Linked DNA regions of Sus scrofa. The protein of the gene in region 3 interacts with the protein of the main gene of each other region in a pairwise test. Links are inferred from orthologs where the notes say so. Each region holds a gene or a part of one and is shown on either strand. Other genes may lie near its edges. The genes, in order: TACC1, FSD2, SH2 domain-containing protein 4A-like, SH3GL1 and PPP1CB.

Region 1 (4,183 bases), on a different chromosome or scaffold from region 3:
TTTATTATTCACCTTCCTTTAATAAATAGAACAGAGATGTTCTAATTCCCTGTTTGTGGACAAATTTTCCAGTTAGAACTGTGAAAACCACTGAGTTTTATTGCAGGGGTCCATGAGGATCCCAAGTTTCATTGCATTTGATAGTTCACAGACAAGCCACTTACCAGGCCATCAGCAACAACTGAATCAGGATCCCCTTGCACCTCCTGTACCTCCAACTCAGCATCTCCAAGAATCACAATGAGGAATCTTCCTGCTTCATTTCTGGGGGCTGAGGAGGCAGTTTGTAGTGGGAACTGGATCCCATTTGTGATAGCCAATTCCTGCGCTTCCATCATGGAAAGACCTAGAACTGGAGAGGGCCAGGAAAATCATCAATTCCCCTCCCTGCCATGCAGCACATGCCCTACACTGTGGGTAGAGGTGTGCACGTGGGGAAGGCTGGCCCCAGGCAGGACTCTATGAACCCACAGGACATTTTCACTGCCATCTTTATCAATTATTATTATTTTTGTCTTTTTTTGCCCCCTCCCACAACAATGGAAGTTTCCAGGCCAGGGATCAAACCTGTGCCACAACAGTGGCAACGCCAGATCCTTAACCTGCTGAGCCACCAGGGAACTCTGTTATTATTTTCCAATTAGAAGAGGGAGAAGAAAAACAAACAAACAAACCAGTCAAGGAGTTCCTGCTGTGGCACAACAGGGTGGATGGTGTCTCTGCAGTGCCAGGACATGGGTTCATCCCCAGCCAGTCACAGTGGATTAAAGGATCCAGCATTGCCACAGCTATGATGTGGGTCACAACTGCGGCTGGCATCTGAGCCCTGGCCCAGGAACTCCATATGCCAAAAAAAGAAAAAAACAAACAAGACAAACAGCCAAGAGGGATGTGGGTGTGTATATTTCTTGGAATCCAGAGGTTGGGGGTGGGGGTGGGGAGTGATCCATCAAAAATGTTTCTAGTACAAAAGCTGGCAAAACAAATCTCTCTCTCTCTCTCTTTTTTTTTTTTTTTTTTTTTAATCTGAACTGTGTAACAGGAGAAATTCTCTCACAAGGGGAGAGTATTCCTGAGCCAAGTTTAGGCCGAGGAAAAATTTTCCAGCTTGTGAGGAACGAAGCTGACGTTACATTAAGGAGGAAAAAAAATAGTGCTGGAGGAAAAGAGGAAGGGGGGAAAAGGCACCAGGCTTCAAACAGAGGAGCTTTAAATTCCAGATGGGACCACAGATCAGAGAGCTAGGAGGCTGCAGCGATTTCTCCGTGGGGCTCCCAGACCCAGTGGACATTTCCTGTTCTGCCCCTGAACGTTCAAGCCAAAACTTTACAAAACATCCTTTTCCCTAGAACCAAGTGTTTGGTTCGGAGACCCACCCCTCCCCACGTCGGTGATCTCAGAGCCTGCCCTCCCCTTCCTTTCTCGGAACCGCTCCCTGATCAGGGGCGTCAGCTTCCCAGCAGAGGTGATGGAGCCACTGTAGCAGGTGGTGCCAATGGGAGAGAGGAGACCCGGGGACCACCGCCTACGAGGTAGGAACGGGGGCTGCGTGTGCTTGGGTTGTCTGACACTTACGGAGCAAAGCAGAGCCCTTGACCTTTAAGCTCGGGCTGGGGGCGTTTTCTTGACGATGGGACAGTGCTGTGGGTGAGTGGACGCCAGGGACGTCAGGCATTTCTTTCCTCTCTTTCTTTCCAATTTTAACTTTAATTCTTGGGTCTCTGGAAGCACTACCTCTTGTTTGCCTTCTGATGTAGAAGTGTTAGGGTAGAATTCTGGGAATTCCCTGACTTCTTTGTTTCTTTTTCTTTTTCCTTTTCTTTTGGTGGGCAAGGAGTCAAGGAGCATTTGTAAATACCTTCAGCTCTGAGTAGATTCAGAGAGAAGTGATCCAAATGGATGCAGAAGGAAAAGGCATTTTCACCTTGGTGAGCTGTGGTCCAGCTGTTTCCCAGGACCTGTGTCCTGCCCACCAAACTCCCTCCTCCTCCCCGCATCATGGGAATACACACCTTGAGCTGTTTCTCAGGTGTGGGGATGTGAGACTGGAGCTCAATGCTACGCCTTTATGGGCAGAGCCCAGGTGCCCTTGGAGACATCCACGTCTGTGGCGGAGCTAACTGGTCAACCCTGAAGGCTGCATGTGGCCCTCGCCATCATTAGGGACATGCCCCAGCAGTTCGTCCCTGAGAGGCTAGCCTTGGCAGCACCTGCTGACACTGAACTGATACAGAGAATGCAGCATGGCTTCTGCACAAGTACTCAGATTTTTATCATAAACGAACCATTTCAAATGCCCCTTCTCTGAACTCCAATGGTCCTTCTCTAGAGCACACATTTTGCTCCTTATGCACCTATCACCTTGCTGTACTGTTCTCTAACAAGCTAAACAAATGAGAGAATGGATGGGATGCATGAGTCGTAATCTATTTCTTGGTGATCTTAAGATAGCAACTAACTCTTGTTGAGCACAGACTGTGTGCCGGCACCATTCTAAAGGTGGTGGGTATTATCATCATCATCCCCATTTTACAGATGGGGAAACTGAGGCTGGAGACACACCTAATAAATGCAGAGGAGGGATCTGTACTGAGGCCAGGCTGCCCTGCTCCAAACCAAGGTGGGGGTTTGACTCTCGGTCCCCATATTCTCCAGCTGCGTGACTTCAGACAAGGTGAATGTCCTCAGCCCGTTTCCTCATCTGTCAAATGAGACAATAATAACCCCAGCTCACAGACGTGTTGTAAGAGATAAATGAATTTTAAAAGATTATTTTACTGAAGCAGGCGAACAATGTTGACAGATCTTCCCAACCCTGGCAGTGTGAAGTACAAATGTAGAGCTGAAAACCCTCAGGGTTCTGTAGGAGGTAGCCATAGTGCCATGTCAGGGTTTGTGCCTTAACAAGGGACATTAGCATTCATATACCAGCAGGTGCAGGCCTGTAGCTGCCAGCTCGGTTGACTCTAAGCTCCTTCAGGGCTGGGTTCCTCTCATATACAGATCTGCAATCATGGATTTGACCAACTTTGGACCAAGAAAATAAAGTAAAATAAAATTCCAAAATTTCCAAAAAGCAAAACTTGAATTTGCCCTGCAATTATTGACATAGCATTTACATTTGTATTTACAACTATTCACATGTATTAGCTTTTATAAGTCATCGAGAGATGATTTAAAGTATAAGAGAGGATGTGTGTTGGTTCTGGGCGAATACTATGTCATTTTATATAAGGGACTTGAATGTAGGTAGGTTTTGGTGTCAGTGGGCCTCCTGGAACAAATCCCCCATGCCCAGGGAAACTCAGGGACCACTTTGTTTCTCTTAAAAACGAGATGTTTCTCAGAGTTCCCTAGTGGCTGAGTTGGTTAAGGATCTGGTATTGTCACTGCTGTGGCTCTGGTTACTGCCATAGCATGGGTTCGATCCCTGGCCCTGGAACTTCTGCATGCCAAGGCTGCAGCCAAAAAAGGAAAAAAAAAAAGAAAAAAAGAAAAATGTTTCTTGAACTGTGCTCTAAGGCCCTCCTTGCTCTTCAGATGTAGGATCCCCCTTGGGGAGGAGGTCAACAAGGGGCCCCGTGGATGCTCCCGCAGCCTCCTCTTCCCGCTCGCAACAAGGCATCTCCATCTTTACCTGACTGACTTATTGGGGTGCCCCGTTAAAAGGAAGATTTGAAAACCACGTTCAGAATGACTAATGGGGAGCAGGTGATGTGTCCAGGCTGAAAACAACTGTTTACAGAGCAGGGTTGATTTTTCTAGCTCAGCCCTGTCTAGGCTCTTCCTTGGCCCTCCCTTAGCCTCCTACTTAATGAGCTTCTCCTGCCCTGGAGAACCCACAGGAGGCATGTGCCAGGCGGGCTCAGGAGGTGAGCTCTTCCATCTCAGGCAGCCCATCCCTGGGGACAGGGACAGACAAGTGGCAGGGCCCCAGAGAGCTTCTGTTCCAACCTGGACTCTCTCTCCCTCTTTTTTAAATTTTTTTTTTTTTTTGGTCTTTTTGCTATTTCTTGGGCCGCCCCCGCGGCATATGGAGGTTCCAGGCTAGGGTCCAATCGGAGCTGTAGCCACCAGCCTACGCCAGAGCCACAGCAACTCGGGATCCGAGCCGCGTCTGCAACCTACACCACAGCTCACGGCAACGCCGGATCGTTAACCCACTGAGCAAGGGCAGGGACCG
Region 2 (3,514 bases), on a different chromosome or scaffold from region 3:
TCTGAGCTGAGAGCGAGCTGGCAGTACTGAGCAAGGGAGTTGTCTACTTACCCTTCTACCTCCATCCGCCTGTGCTTAGACATGGAAGGGTTTGACCTTCCTCTGCCTTCCATAGGGAATTAGTGCAATAGTTCTCCTCCCTTTTAAGATTGGGGGTGGGGAGTTCCCATTATGGCTCAGTGGTTAACAAACCCGAATAGTACCCATGAGGACGTGGGTTCCATCCCTGGCCTTGCTCAATGGGTTGAGGATCCAGCATTGCCATGAGGTATGGCACAGGTAACAGACACGGCTCAGATCCTGCATTGCTGTGGCTGTGGCATAGGCCAGGGGCTGTATCTCCAATTCGACCTCTAGCCTGGGAACCTCCATATGCCATGGGTGCGGCCCTAAAAAGACAAAAGACAAAAAAAAGTTAGAAGGTTGGGATGGGGAGGAAAGTCTAGCTTCAGGGGAAAGGGGCCCAGGGCTCCGTGAGGTGCTCCGGTTGATACACCCCAAGGCTGCCTTCATAGAAGTAGAGCATCCCTGTGAAGAGAGGGGACACAGGAAGTCCTATGGTCCTTAGTCCTGGTCTGTCCATCTGGATGGCTAGGTTGAGTGCTGGCAGTGCACACACAGCAGTGTATACACTTCCTGGGCACACCCAGGGAATGTGTTTGGTGCCAGCACAGAAACATTATTATTATTATTTTTTTTTTTTGTCTTTTTGCTATTTCTTGGGCCACTCCAGCGGCATATGGAAGTTCCCAGGCTAGGAGTCTAATCAGAGCTGTAGCTGCCAGCCTACGCCAGAGCCACAGCAACTCGGGACCCAAGCCGCGTCTGCAACCTACATCACAGTTTACAGCAATGCTGGATCCTTAACCCACTGAGCAAGGGCAGGGACCAAACCTGCAACCTCATGGTTCCTAGTCGGATTCGTTAACCACTGCGCCATGACGGGAACTCCACAGAAACATTATTAATCTTGGAAGAAATAGGTAAAGAAAGGAAAAGAACACTTAGTCATAACAGCCTGGGTGTCTTGCAATGCCTTAATAGGCTGGCCATGAAAGAGTCCAACCTTATAGCAGGAATGGGGATATAAAGACATCGAAGACTCAGCCTCCCCAGGAGAGCTGACAGTTCATTAGGGAATGTTGCCATAGGTATACGCCCACCATGCTACGGGAGGGCAGAAAGAAGGGTGAGGGGAGAGGGGCAGTACTGACTCGATACATTCCAAGAAAACAGATTCTCTAACTGGTGCCAGACACAGCTGCTGACCCCACCCCCGATGGAAATGACATGTGTGTCTGACAGCGTCGTCAGGTGTGCTCTTACCTCCACAGTGATGAAAACCTCCTCCAAGTGACTTGCAAAATTTTCCATCTCAATAATCTGCTTTTCCAGTTTGTACATGTTTTTGTGAATTTCGTCCTATTAAACAAAGGATCCCAAGAAGGCATTAATGCTCTGTCTTTTCTCTCTCTCTTTTGTAGAAGGCATTTTATTTTTATTTTTATTTTTTTGCTTTTTAGGGCTGCACCCACAGCATATGAGGGTTCCCAGCCTAGTGGTCGAATTGGAGCTACAGCTGCTGGCATATGCCACAGCCACAGCAACAAAGGATCTGAGCCATGTATGTGACCTACACCACAGCTCATGGCAACGCCCGATCCTTAACCCACTGAGCAAGGCCAGGGATAGAACCCGCAACCTCATGGTTTCTAGTTGGATTCGTTTCCCCTGAGCCACAATGGGAACTACAGTGGAAGGCATTTTAGATTCATATCCTCCCTACACCCTTGAGATAGAAATGCAATATCAAGAGCAAGAAGAACTAAGGAGATCTATTTACCTTGGCGCTTTCCAGTGCTTTATGGAGTGGGGTTACCTCATGTTCCTTGTGTTCATCAGAAACCTCCAAAGCTCTGACTGGTGTTTTGCAGGTGACACAGAAGACATCCGCAGCTTCATCCTCGTCTTCCTCCTCTGGGATGACGTAGCATTCATACTCCTCACTGGCACGGCCATGGGTATACCTATAGGCTTCCCGCAAGTCCTGGCACTGGTCCGCCGAGCCCCAGCCCCCCAAGCCCAGGTCCTCTGCATTAGCCTCCTCCCCGCTAAGTCTCCAGTCTCTCTGCTCCCTGGCTGCTTCTCTCCCCGTCATCCCATAAGGAGGATACTCTGAAACCTCTATTCTGGGCATGCTTTCGTCAACGAATGCATCGCCTAATTCATGATCATCTTCAAGTCCGTAAAGATGGACAAGTTCATCCACTTCTTCTTCAAGGTCTCTCGGAGCCTTCCCTTTCACGGCTGCTCTTGGTTCGTTGGTCATTTCAGCCTGGACTACCTCTCTTCGCATCCGAGCGTTTCCTTCCGGGAAGATCTGCAGTCTGTCTTCAGAGTCGTACAGATCCACGTGATAAAAGTGGAAATCCTTAGGAGCAGCGGGCCTGCCCAGCCCCGGGGCCTCACCTGCTTCCTCTTCCATCGTGGCTCTGGATGCTCGGGGCAGCCCCTCTGCACAGGAAGGTTTCTTTTTGGACAGTTATTAATAGATATCCTGGGTCCTAGAACAGAAAACCCCATTTCTGAGGTCAGTGCACTAGATGGTTATTAGATTGGGCTCAACTCATCCACAATTTTTTAGAAAAAAAAAATCATCCAAGCATCTTAGTTGTAGTTTCACTTTAAGTGATCTATAAAGAAAGATTTGTTTTTGAAGCTCCCGTTGTGGCTCAGTGGTAATGAACCTGACTAGGATCTATGAGGACGCAGGTTCAGTCCCTGGCCTTGCACAGTGGGTTATGGATCCGGCGTTGTGAGCTATAGTGTAGGTCACAGATGCAGCTTGGATTCCAAGTTGCCGTGGCTATGTTGTAGGCCAGCAGCTATAGCTCCGAAACGACCCCTAGCCTGGGAACTTCCATATGCCGAGAGTGTGGCCCTAAAAAAGACAAAAATTAAATAAATAAATAAATAAATAAAGGAGTTCCCATCGTGGCTCAGTGGTTAATGAATCCAGCTAGGAACAGTGGGGTTGTGGGTTTGATCCCTGGCCTTGCTCAGTGGGTTAAGGATCCGGCGTTGCCGTGAGCTGTGGTGTAGGTCGCAGATGTGGCTCAGATCCTGAGTTGCTGTGGCTGTGGTGGAGGCCAGTAGCTACAGCTACGATTAGACCCCTAGCCTGGGAACTTCCATATGCCAAGGGAGCAGCCCTAGAAAAGGCAAAAAGACAAATAAATAAATAAATAGGTTTTTTTTTTTATGGGTGGACAGGCTTCCTAAGCGTCAAAGAGGAGAAATTACGGAAAAAAAAAATCTGTAAATTGATTTCACTAACAAACAACTCCTATGTACTTAAAAAACCTAAAAATCTCCAAAAGCCAAATAATGGGCTTGTCTCAGGCAATTATTAATAAGCAAATTATATAAATTAATTGAAAAGAAGAAATCTCAATAGATTACTGAGCAATGACAAGTCACAAAATAATTTCTTTTGCATGTAATATTACCTGTA
Region 3 (4,068 bases):
ACACGTGGAGAAGGAGCTGCTCAGGGAAGCTGGAAACTTCTACTCTGTTCCCCATTTTGAATTGGGTGACAGCAACACCGACGGTGTGGGGAGAGCCTAAAAACTACAACTTGGCACGTGCCACCTTCACAGCGCCCCCTCCCTCCAGCACTGGTGACAAGCGCTGACTCCTGCTGGGCAGCCACCACCTTGAGCCCTGCACATGCAGTAACTTATGAACCTTCACCATAACCTTGGTGTTCAGTCCCTCCCTCTGCCCATTTCACAGAAGATGGAAAGGGGCGGCACTGGGCGGTTTGGCTCCACGTCACTGCAGGAGGTTTTCTCCGTGAGCCCAGAATCAGAACATCATCAGGATGAGGCCCCACGGGTGAAGTTTCAGAATGAAAACCAGCAAATTCTAGAGGCAGCGGAAACGGTGAACCGAAGGTACATGAGGCAGGGTCCTTCTTGGGAGGCAGAAGCCTCATCTCTGTAACTGCAGGTGGGCTTTGGGGACGCTGGGCATTGAAAAGCCCTCACCCCGGAAAGATGGCGGGAAGTGACGTCATGTTGGCGCAGGCGCAGATACTGATGCCCAGTCAGTCACTGAGTATTGAGCCTCCTCAGTCCCCCTCCTACCACCCCCAAGAGCAGCACTGGGGGCAGGGGGCAGAAGGATGGCAGGAAGGGACACAGTCAAGACCTCACAGCTGCGATTTTGTGCCGTTTTGCCTTTTGCAACAAATAGATTTTTGACGTTAAAGTGGATCTTGAAGGAAAGACACTGGCCTCCCCCTGTCCTCAGGGGAAACTTGGGAACATAGTTTACAACCTTTCTGTGGGGTGAGGCTGAATAATATGCATGCCACTCGGAGGCTGTGAACACCCACCAGCGTGAACGGAACTCCTTCCTCAAACACAGCACAGGAAGCTCTCGGCTCACAGCTCTGCCTCTCCTGAGCTGTGGATGTTTGCGTTGTCACTTCCCTTCCTCGGACTCAGTCTCCTTGCCACGAAATGAGCCTGAACTTGAATCTTTGTCATCTTAGGAATACACTACATTATAGTGCGGAGTTCCAGACGCAAGTGGGGCTGGGTCAGCGGAAACAGAAACAAGGAAATTAACCAACCAGGGGTTTCCCCTGGTTTCCCTGACAATCAGTGCTTGATACGATCAAACACAGGTAACTTCCGTATCCAATTCATTGAGTGCTACCCAGTTATTTAAGATCCAGTAGAAAGGAAAACTCAGCTAACTCTTTTCCTCCTGAGCAGCACTATTCTTAAAACACAGAAATGACAACAAGCAAAGAGTCCACATCTGCTATTTTTTTTCCAAAAATTCAAAGGGTCATGGCACCCATATTTCCCAGAGCCACTGTTTTATAAACAGTAATTATATTTTTTGGTATTTTTTATAGCTGCACCGGCGGCATTTGGAAGTTGCCAGGCTAGGGGTCTAATCAGAGCTGCATCTGCAATCCATGCTGCTGCAGCAGCAATGCAGGATCCTCACTTAACCACTGAGCAAGGCCAGGGATCCAACCCGTCTCCTGTGGACACTATGTCAGGTTCTTAACCACTGAGCCACAACAGGAACTCCAAGAATTGTATTTTGAATGACTCTGAGATCTTACTTTACCAGAGATACGCCTAAATCATAAAAATATTGTAATATGGACAGTGTACTTTAATGTTAAAAACATAGTTTGAATTCTAATTCTTTTTAAAAAGCCCTGTTTCCAGACTTTCCATGCTCTTACTCAACTTTACCTTGTTAATCTATCTGCAAAAGGGCTATTTTTGAGGATAAAACAAATTACCATGGGTGACAGCAGTTTGGTAAATTTGATAAATACATACCATTCTTCAGGTATTTAAAAATCGCTGTACGTGAATTTCTCCAGAAATTCCTCTCACATGCCAAATCTGTACCTGGGATAGGCCTTCACTCACTTATTCACTTAAAATAATGATTGTATCCCAAGTCATTTCTATTAAACAGGCAATCAAACAAAGCCTTTTAGGAGGTGAGCAGACTCCAAGTTTAGAAAGAGAGGAGGGGAGTTCACTTGCTCTTCCAGTGACTCTTGGGAGGGTAAGACAATTCTGAGCAAACCTGCACAGTTTTGCCCTCTTCGCTGCCCCTCATGCCACCTCTGGGGAGCCCGCGTGAACCAGAGGGCGGGAGAGAGCAGGGAAAGGTCACGGCCAGGCCACCTGCGGCCACAGTCTGGTCCGCCTTCCGGGGGGCGGCGCGCCCACCCTGGGCCCTGCGCGCCCACCCTGGGCCCCACCCCGCACCCTCAAAGGCAGAAAGCGCCCTCAGACCCGGCCTTTCCCTCCGCCCGCGACCCCCACGGGCCACTGCCGGCCTTCTGCACGCTTCCTCCCTGGCAGCCCCGCTCGCGCCCCTCGGGGGACGCGGCCGCCTGCAGCAGGAGCTTCCCGCGCGCCCCGCCGCCCGCGTACCCCTCACCACGACCGCCGGCCGGCCCTCAGCGCCTCTGCTCTCCCGCCGGTGCAGCGACACCGGACACCGACACCGGACACTCGCCCGCCCGCCCCGCCAGCACCTGACCCCCCGGCGGAGGAACGCGCCGCGCGCCAGCGGGACCAGAACCCACGGGGACATCCACCCCCGCCGCCCGCCCGCTCGCCCGCACTCACTGGCCGCATCTGGCCCCTCCCGGCCCGCACCTGCCTGCGCGGGGCTGGGCCGCCTGATCGGGTGCCGAGGGAGGAGAAGGAGCAGTCGGCTGCACAGACACGCGGCCGCGACATGAGCCAAGCGCGTCCCCAGCCCGCCCGTCCGTTCGAACCTGCGGCACCGGGGCTGGTCCCGCCGCGCGCGTCCTGCGGACGGTGGTGAGATCCCGGCCAGGCACCAGGCTTCCTGGCAGGTGGGGCCTGAGCCGGCGGCGGGCGGGCCTTTCTTCGCTCCGCGGGCTGAACTTCTGTTCTGGCGCCTCTGGAGCTCACTTTTTGTTGTTGTTGTTGTTGTTGTTGTTGACTTTGAGAAAATTACCAAACTCTTGGGCACTTGTCCGGAGGGGTGTGGCTTTGTAGGAGGACAGGACCAAAGAGGAGAACAGCTGGAAAGATGGAGACTGGAGACAGCGGGGACGGGGAGAGAAAATGAAAGAAATCCAAAGAGAAGGGCAGAAGAAAAGGAATGCTGAGAGCAGCGGCCAAGTCAGGTTGGGGTGGTTGCTGAAGGAGGAGGAGCTGGCCGAGGAGGGAAAAGGAAATCTGGGAGGAAAGTTCAGTAGAAGCAGCGTGGAAACATTGGGGGGGCATGTTCCTTCTAGAGGAAACGTTCAGAATGTGTGCGGCAAACAGCCTGCTTTGGTGACCCCATGGTGCAGGTGTCAGGGAGAGAGGTTATAGACTGCGATGTGGTCCTCTTCCACGCAGCCTGCCTGACTTGCTCCTTCAGAATGAAACCTTCCCATTTCTAGGCTTCCCGTACTACAGAAGTTAGAGCCTTGGGGTAGAGGTCAGTCCTCCTGCCTAGCTATTTAAAGGCTATTCTGGAGATCCTATCTGGGGAGAATTCCTGGTTCAGTTTGGTTCCACTGCTTATTAAATGAATGGCCCCTTAGGGTCTTTCTGGCTGGAGTGTCATTTGGCCCTGGCTCGCTGCTGTGGCCAGCTCTGAAGGAAGCCTAACACTTCTTGCATGGGCAGTGGAAGAACTGTAAAGTGAGCATTTAACACATCTGAGAACCATTTAATGAACACTTGCCAGGAGCCAGGCCAGTGGTGACACTGGGGGCCTGCAGGGAACAGATGGCCAGGGCCTGCATTGCCATCCTCCCTGCAGCACTGCCTGCTACAGCAGCTCTATGTTTTATACCTCTTTGAAATCATAAACATCAAGTAAGGACTAATCTACCCCAGGAAGGTTTGAATCCTACCCAACACCCAGACACACAATAGGTATGCAGGATGTGTTACAGTTCAAATGCTCCACATGGTAAAATTGCTCCAAAAAACATCAAGGGGCTCTGTTATGTAATTACGAGGCCCTGAATTATTTTCTGCCCTTTGGGCCATGCTCTCAGTGGAAACATTTCCGACTCT
Region 4 (3,514 bases), on a different chromosome or scaffold from region 3:
GATCGATGAAGTTCTGCTTGACCTCTATGTCCAGGGAGTCCTTCACCTCAGCCAGGCGCTTCATGGACTCCCCGGCGTCCAGCAGGGCATCACCTGGGGGAGGAAGCTGTCACAGGAGGCCTTGGCCCCTAGGGTTGAGATACCCCATGCCAAGGACCTGGACGCCAGAATTGAGAACAAGGGACCCTGAAATCTGACACAGAGCCACAGGGGCTGGTGATGATGGGTGTTCACAAGCTACCTTCCCACCTCTTCAAAGGCACCCAGGTCTGCCCTGACCCAGCTGTGGTGGGAGGGTGGCCTCCCCACAGCCATGATACTGTAGGCAGCACCTGTTGTGGACCAGAGGGGCTTTCTCAGGAGCTTCACCGCCCTCGTCCAGAGGACTAGCCAGCCCTGGAGAAGACCTTGGAGCTATGGGGGAAGGGCCAGCCTGCCCGCTGCGCAGAGATGCTGTTGCCCCATGTTCTCAGGCCCTCCCCACTCCAGCCTTCCCTCGGCCTCACCGAAGTTGGACTCGCCACCCAGCTCCTTCCCGTGGCGGATCATGCACTCGCCCAGCAGGCCTTCTGACTGCGGGTAGCCGGGGTTCTTCACCTGCCCACGGATCTTGGACACCGTGTTGAGCATCGTCAGCTTGGCCCGAGAGGCTGGAAGAGGACGGACCGGGTGGGTGTGCAGGTGGTCTCTTGAGCCACCAGGCCTGTGCTTGCCAGTACCACCAGCTACCCACCTCTGCCTGGGTATTTATTTCTAAAGCACTCCCTTGGGCTGAGGAACAGGAATATGAGAAGAACCCCTGAACAGACTTCCCCTCCTCTGCTCTCACGTGCACAAAGGAGCACTGGCAGTGGTCAGGAGAGGTGACTGGCTCCTTGAGGCCCCCAGAGAAGCAGGGCAGGTAGGTGTAGGTGCAGACAGGTACAGGTGGCCCCAGCACAGGTCTCTGCCCAGAGGGGGGTAGGGGTGTGTGTGCTGTGCCTGAGCCTCTGCTAGCTCCAGTCTGTCCCGGCACAGGCCTCAGGGGACACTGCTGCCTTTGCTGCTGTCCTGCATCTGTCACCTTTCACTGCAAACCAGAATTTGGATTTTCCTTGGGGAGAAGGCCCCACCTCATGCTCCAAAGGTAGGCATGTGGCTGGGGCCTGATACTTGATTCAAATTGGGTTAGGTGGGGGTAAAAAGATACTCTTTCTACTGGGACCATTAGCTGTAAGGACAGTTTAAGGCTAGGACTGTTGTGAGAAATGAGAGCTGACAGATGACACAGAAGGGAAAGGCAGGGCCCTGAGGACATCCTTTGGATGCCTGGATCCAGCCATGCCTGAACCTGCCTATCCCTGGGCATCTCAATTCTGTGGGCCCATACATTCCTTCTTCATGTTCTGGTGACTGGAAGATTCCCGACAGAGAGCTCAAAGAGTTGGGGTCAGACCCCTCACAGCAGGCTGGCCCCTACCTGGGTTGGGCTGCAGGTACTCGATGGTTCTGGCCAACACTTCTGTCACAGCCTTGCTGGTAACATCCACCTTCTGTAGAGAGAGGCCATGTGTGGGGTTTTGAAACTGCCGGGGCACCCGAGGCCAAACCAGGAGCCCCTGGACAGCTCTTGCCCTGCTTAGAGCCCACACAAGAACTGCCCGCTGCTTCTGGGGGCTCCCTGGCCTCCGTGTTGTTGGCCATGCTATGCCCTCACCACTGCCTGCCCAGGACTAGGGGAGCCCTGTGACCCGCCTAGACCCTCCTGGTGAGCCTGGCCTCCCGCCAGCTGTCAGGGGCAGGCCCTATGGGGGTTGGTAACACTGCCAGGCATGAGACGGGCACCACCTCTCCCATTACCTTCTCCATCTCCTTGAAGTCATCGTCAAGCTTGGTCCCTTCAGCCCCTCCGACCTTCTCGCTGACCAGCTGGGGGACAAAGGAGGAAAAGTGTGTGAGCCTCAGGGGAGGAGACTCCAGGATGCCTTCCTGCCCTGTCCACTGAAGGGAAGCAGGGCAGGGGCTCAGGACATCTACCATGGCTTCCCAGGGAGACTGAATGTGGCAGCCAATGGCAAAATGAGGGGCTGAACGATACCCACCCCCCCCAAATCTGCATGCTCCTGGAAACCCAGGGCAGGGGGCTCTTCCTGCTGGAAGCCGTCCCTGGCCGAGCTACCTTGTTATGCCGCAATGGCGGCTCCACAATGTTCCCCAGTCTCTGGGTTGTGCAGACCTGCCTGGGCCCAACCATGGCCCAGTGATGTCCTCTCACAGGGCTGAGGCACCCATGCTCACAGAAGCCCTTTCATTCAGGGAACCGTGACCCTGAAGTCCTGCCTCTCTGGGAAGGAATCTCGGACTGTGGGTCTGCATTCCCCAGGGGCGCCCCGAGAGGCAAGCAGGTTCCGAGGCTGAACAAACATGCAGACTGCGTGTGGGACAAGCGCTGAGCAAGAGGGAAAGACCTGCCCGACAGAAGCCAACTACTGTGGTGCCTGGAAGTGACTTTTCATGCATGTGTGTGAGCATGTGTGTGAACCCATGCACATGAAACTTCCTGGCAGCCACCTGTGAGGACAGCTCCCGGGGCTAAGGGCACCAAGGGGCCCACCAGCTGACAGGAGTGTCGGACCACTATCGTTCAACAACTGGTCCACTGCCTTCTATCTGTGTGGTCTTGGGCAATCAGCCTCGCTGGGCCTCAGTTTTTGCTTCTATAAAGTGGAGTGACAGGTGTGCACTCGTAGGGCTGTGGCCAGGCTTCGTGGGCGCTGCATGCGCATGTGTGCTCAGGGTACTCCCCCTGCCCACACCCATGACTGCTGTTATTCTCCCTGGGCATCTTGGTCCTCCAAGTGGAGCACAGAACTGCAGGGCAGGCCTGGCCTACAGGTCTTTGTCACCCCGAACCTGCATGTCCCTGTGAGTCAAGTGTTCTCACAATGGCTACGTGTCAGGAGCCTAGGAGGGGATGGGGTGGGGGGCACAGATGAGAGATGAGACCCTGCGGTGGGGGCACAGGAAGGAAGCAGGGCTGGCTCAGGGCCCACTCAGTCATGCCCCAGCCTTTGAGGGACCTCCAAGGTAGGCAGGGGCTGCCCTCCTGGTTCTGACTTTATAAGGAAAGACACTGGTCTCTCCTAGGTGTTTTTAGGGCGTTCCACTTTATTTCATGGCATGGTTTCACTTCTTTTGATTATGGTAAAACAGGACGTTCTCAGCTTCGGTGGTTGCCACAGAGGGAAATGAGTTAGCTGCCTGACGTGAGACTAGACTCTTCTGGTGAACTCAAAGGGCAGCCGAGGCGCCAGGGCTCAAAAACCACACCTTCCGGGCCGAGGGCCTGCTCAGTGCAGGGAGCACAGGTGCTCCCAGGGAGCAGCCCCTGCTGGCAGGCACCATGTCCCCTGAGGGGCAAGGGCACAGGCAGACCCCATAGCCTCTTCCAGCCCCCCAGGAGTGTCACCTTTCTGCCTCCCCTGGGAGCCCTGACAGCTCCACAGGCATCTATGTGCAGGGCCGCCCTCACTCT
Region 5 (3,514 bases), on a different chromosome or scaffold from region 3:
TCATTGCACTTGTAACTTAAAGCATTTCCTACTTCTAGATAATTAACCTTTCAGGAGATCCTAATATTCTAATCCTTTCCTTTTGTGTTTACTATTCCTTCTCAATATTTTTTGCCCATTCCTTCTCTGCTTGCTTATGAAGTGTTTGATTCCTCAGAGTTCTTTTCCTGGTCTTCTCAGTTTACATTCCCAAGATGGTCTCAGTCCCTTCTAAGATTTACATTCCTATTAGTTTGATAAAGATCTTTAGATAAATATTTTTTTAGCTCTGACCTTTTTTTAATCCAAAAACATTACTAAAGTCAGGGATCTACTCTGATTTTGTTCCTCTGTACTTTATTTAAATCCTCCAGGCCTTTGTAGAAAATGTTTTCTTCCCTCAAAATGATCTATAAATCAGATGTAGTTCCAGTGAAATTTAAATTGGATTTACAGAATTAGACAAACTGATTCGCAAGTTTATATGTGGAAGAACAAAGGATTAAAAGTAACCAAGACAATCCTGAAGAAAAATATTAAGTGGGGATAAACCCACCACACATAAAGATTTATTTAAAAGGTCTAGTGTGTTACTGGCTCAGTGATAAAGTAGATTAATGGAATAGACTATGGCACCAGAAACAGTATAAGTAGCTCTCTAAGGAAAGGATGAACTATTAAGGGAAATATTGCTGGGTCACTTGGTTATCCATAGGGAAAAACTAGAGACAAGATGAACAGCCTTTTCAAACATCATATGCTTAGAGTGTGCCATACACATATTTCTTTTCTTTTTTTTTTTTTCTTTTTTTTGTCTTTTTTTGTCTTTTTGCCATTTCTTGGGCCACTCCCGTGGCATATGGAGGTTCCCAGGCTAGGGGTCTAATTGGAGCTGTAGCTGCCAGCCTATGCCAGAGCCACAGCAACACAGGATCTGAGCCGTGTCTGCAACCTACACCACAGCTCACGGCAGCACCAGATCGTTAACCCACTAAGCAAGGGCAGGGATCACACCCACAACCTCATGGTTCCTAGTTGGATTCGTTAACCACTGTGCCACGACGGGAACTCCAAGTGTGCCATACACATATTTCTTATATCTGGAAAGCTTTGGAGAGTACTGCCTTTAAAGCCAGGCAACATTGTATTTGCATGGTTACTTTAACAAAAAACTGGCTGAGTTGGATAGGCCGGGATACTATCCCAGGGGGCAAATGATTATTACTGTTTATTACAGAAGAAATGGGATATAGATATGCTTTATTTTACAAATATTGTTTTTTCATTGCTGTGCTTTGATTCTTTAAAGGTTTGCTCTGTGATTTGCTGTGGTCTGACCCAGATAAGGATGTGCAAGGTTGGGGAGAAAATGACCGTGGTGTTTCCTTCACTTTTGGAGCTGATGTAGTCAGTAAATTTCTGAATCGTCATGATTTAGACTTAATTTGTCGAGCTCATCAGGTATGAAATACAAAAACTTTTGGGTATTTTGATATTTTCAACTTCACCTAGGTCTACTCCTTTTATTTTTGAGGAAATTTGAGATCTAAGAAAGCTAATTACACAAGGAAAGCAGTAGAAGAGATTATACCTTGATCTCACAAGTAACAATGTAATGATTTTATTAACCCTTTCCACCCTCTAAGAGGAAAGGTTTCAACAGTAGTAGATTACAACACTAACATTTTTCAGTGCTTGTCTGAAGCTTTCTAGAACTATTTGATCCCATTTTAATATGATAGTTAGATATAATAGATAACAATCAAATGAATTATGTGGATTTTGGTAAGAACAAACCACACTATAGAGAGACATTTTGAGATAATTAGGAAATTTTTCAATTATAGACTGAGTATTAGATATTGGGGAGTCATTGCTAGTTATTTTAACTGTGATGATAGCATATTGCTATGTAAAAAGGATGTCCCATATTTTTCAGAGTTGCATGCTCAAGTATGTAGGGGTGAGAGGATGTGTCTAGGATTTGTTTTAAAATATATCAGAGTTTCTGTTGTATCAGCAAATCATCTATTTGTATCAGCGGAAACAAATCCAACTAGTTTCTCTGAGGACTCAGGTTCAATCCCTAGCCTCACTAGTTGGTTAAGGATATCCAGTGTTGCTGTGAGCTGTGGTCTAGGTCGTGGATGCAACTTGGATCTGGTATTGCTGTGACTATGGTGTAGGCTGGCAGCTGCAGCTCTGAGTCAACCCCTAGTCTGAGAACTTCCATATGCTGCAGGTGCAGCCCTAAAAAGCAAAATAAAAATATATCAGCAAAGCAAAGGGGTAAATGAAATAAATGTAACAAAGTCTTCGTAATTATTGAATCAGGGTGATGAGTAATTGAGAGTTTATTGAACTCCTCCTTATCTACTTTTGTGTTTATTTGAATTTTCATTTTAAAAAATACATGTACGGGAGTTCCCTGGTGGCTCAGCAGCTTAAGGATACGGCATTGTCACTGTGGTGACGGTTTGATCCCTGGCGTGGGAAGTTCTGCATACCTCGGATACAGACAGAGAACAAAAACAGGATATATGTACAACTTAGGATTTGGTTTGGTTTCAATGTCCTCCTTCATCACTAGATTGTACACTCTTCAAGGAGGTGAACAGTTTAATATATCAAACTCTCACAGTCCTAAACCATAGCTGGTATGAAATACATTGAAAAGTATTTTTTTCAAATCTTTTGAAGTTACTTTTTAAAGTATTTTACATTTGTAAGTATAATATTTAAAGTTTCTTTGTTAAAGCAAAATATATTAACAACAAATATATGCTGTTCTACAGTACTCCCCTTTTTAAGGGGCTTTGCTCCCCCGTAACCCTGGATTGATTACTTCTGCCTCTTTATGTGCTCCTATGTGATAACGAAGATGACAGGCTTTTGTTGTTTTTGCTTTTGGTTTTAGGGCTGCAGTCATGGCATAGGAAAGTTCCCAGGCTAGGGCTAGAATAGGCCACAGCCACAGCAACACCACATTCAAGCCACGTCTGCAACCTATACCACAGCTCATGGCAGCTCTGGATTCTTAACCCACTGAGTGGGGCCAGGGATCAAACTCGCATCCTCATGGATGCTAGTCAGATTCGTTGCTGCTGAGCCACAATGGGAACTCCATAACAGACTTCTTATTTTCTGCATATGTTTTATGCTTTTTTCCTATTAGAATTTCATACTTTAATTGAAATGAAGTCATGTCCCTATATCCTTTGCTTTTGGCAAAATTGTCTTTTAATCAATGAACAATGTGTTTATAATTTAGACAATTAAGATGTCTTCCATAAGATAACAGGGCAGAGTTGCTGAGTTTCTTTAAAAAAATACTGATAGTCACTTTTTCAGCTATAGATCTCCATTCAGTTGTCTTTTCAAAAATTGGTGATGATTTTTAAAAGTCAGGTTATTGAACTACCCTTAATTTGCATGGTCTTTTTCTGTTCTGCTTGTTTTCAAACAAATTATCCCTAAAATTAAGAGACTTATGATGGGAAATAATGCAAACTACAAATATTTACTTTTTAAAAAC

Evidence for each region.
Region 1: the proteins of SH2 domain-containing protein 4A-like (region 3) and TACC1 interact in binary tests that used the Homo sapiens proteins (3 or more experiments, as listed by UniProt). The two-hybrid records come from large-scale screens. The link is inferred for Sus scrofa from reciprocal best matches to the Homo sapiens genes SH2D4A and TACC1.
Region 2: the proteins of SH2 domain-containing protein 4A-like (region 3) and FSD2 interact in binary tests that used the Homo sapiens proteins (3 or more experiments, as listed by UniProt). The two-hybrid records come from large-scale screens. The link is inferred for Sus scrofa from reciprocal best matches to the Homo sapiens genes SH2D4A and FSD2.
Region 4: the proteins of SH2 domain-containing protein 4A-like (region 3) and SH3GL1 interact in binary tests that used the Homo sapiens proteins (3 or more experiments, as listed by UniProt). The two-hybrid records come from large-scale screens. The link is inferred for Sus scrofa from reciprocal best matches to the Homo sapiens genes SH2D4A and SH3GL1.
Region 5: the proteins of SH2 domain-containing protein 4A-like (region 3) and PPP1CB interact in binary tests that used the Homo sapiens proteins (3 or more experiments, as listed by UniProt). The two-hybrid records come from large-scale screens. The link is inferred for Sus scrofa from reciprocal best matches to the Homo sapiens genes SH2D4A and PPP1CB.

Annotation. Positions count from the first base shown.
Region 1 is NC_010457.5:47,858,300-47,862,482, reverse strand, and holds the start of TACC1 (transforming acidic coiled-coil-containing protein 1), read left to right. Parts: upstream 1-1,378; 5' UTR 1,379-1,495; coding exon 1,496-1,532; intron 1,533-4,183. UniProt on the Homo sapiens protein: Involved in transcription regulation induced by nuclear receptors, including in T3 thyroid hormone and all-trans retinoic acid pathways. Might promote the nuclear localization of the receptors.
Region 2 is NC_010449.5:52,164,967-52,168,480, reverse strand, and holds part of FSD2 (fibronectin type III and SPRY domain-containing protein 2), read right to left. Parts: intron 2,565-3,514; 5' UTR 2,486-2,564; coding exon 1,844-2,485; intron 1,423-1,843; coding exon 1,327-1,422; intron 1-1,326.
Region 3 is NW_018084867.1:67,345-71,412, forward strand, and holds the start of SH2 domain-containing protein 4A-like, read right to left. Parts: upstream 2,806-4,068; 5' UTR 2,683-2,805; intron 2,510-2,682; exon of another isoform or gene 2,455-2,509; intron 1-2,454. UniProt on the Homo sapiens protein: Inhibits estrogen-induced cell proliferation by competing with PLCG for binding to ESR1, blocking the effect of estrogen on PLCG and repressing estrogen-induced proliferation. May play a role in T-cell development and function.
Region 4 is NC_010444.4:74,438,454-74,441,967, reverse strand, and holds part of SH3GL1 (endophilin-A2), read right to left. Parts: intron 1,909-3,514; coding exon 1,840-1,908; intron 1,533-1,839; coding exon 1,460-1,532; intron 651-1,459; coding exon 507-650; intron 94-506; coding exon 1-93. UniProt on the Homo sapiens protein: Implicated in endocytosis. May recruit other proteins to membranes with high curvature.
Region 5 is NC_010445.4:110,443,381-110,446,894, reverse strand, and holds part of PPP1CB (serine/threonine-protein phosphatase PP1-beta catalytic subunit), read left to right. Parts: intron 1-1,288; coding exon 1,289-1,440; intron 1,441-3,514. UniProt on the Homo sapiens protein: Protein phosphatase that associates with over 200 regulatory proteins to form highly specific holoenzymes which dephosphorylate hundreds of biological targets.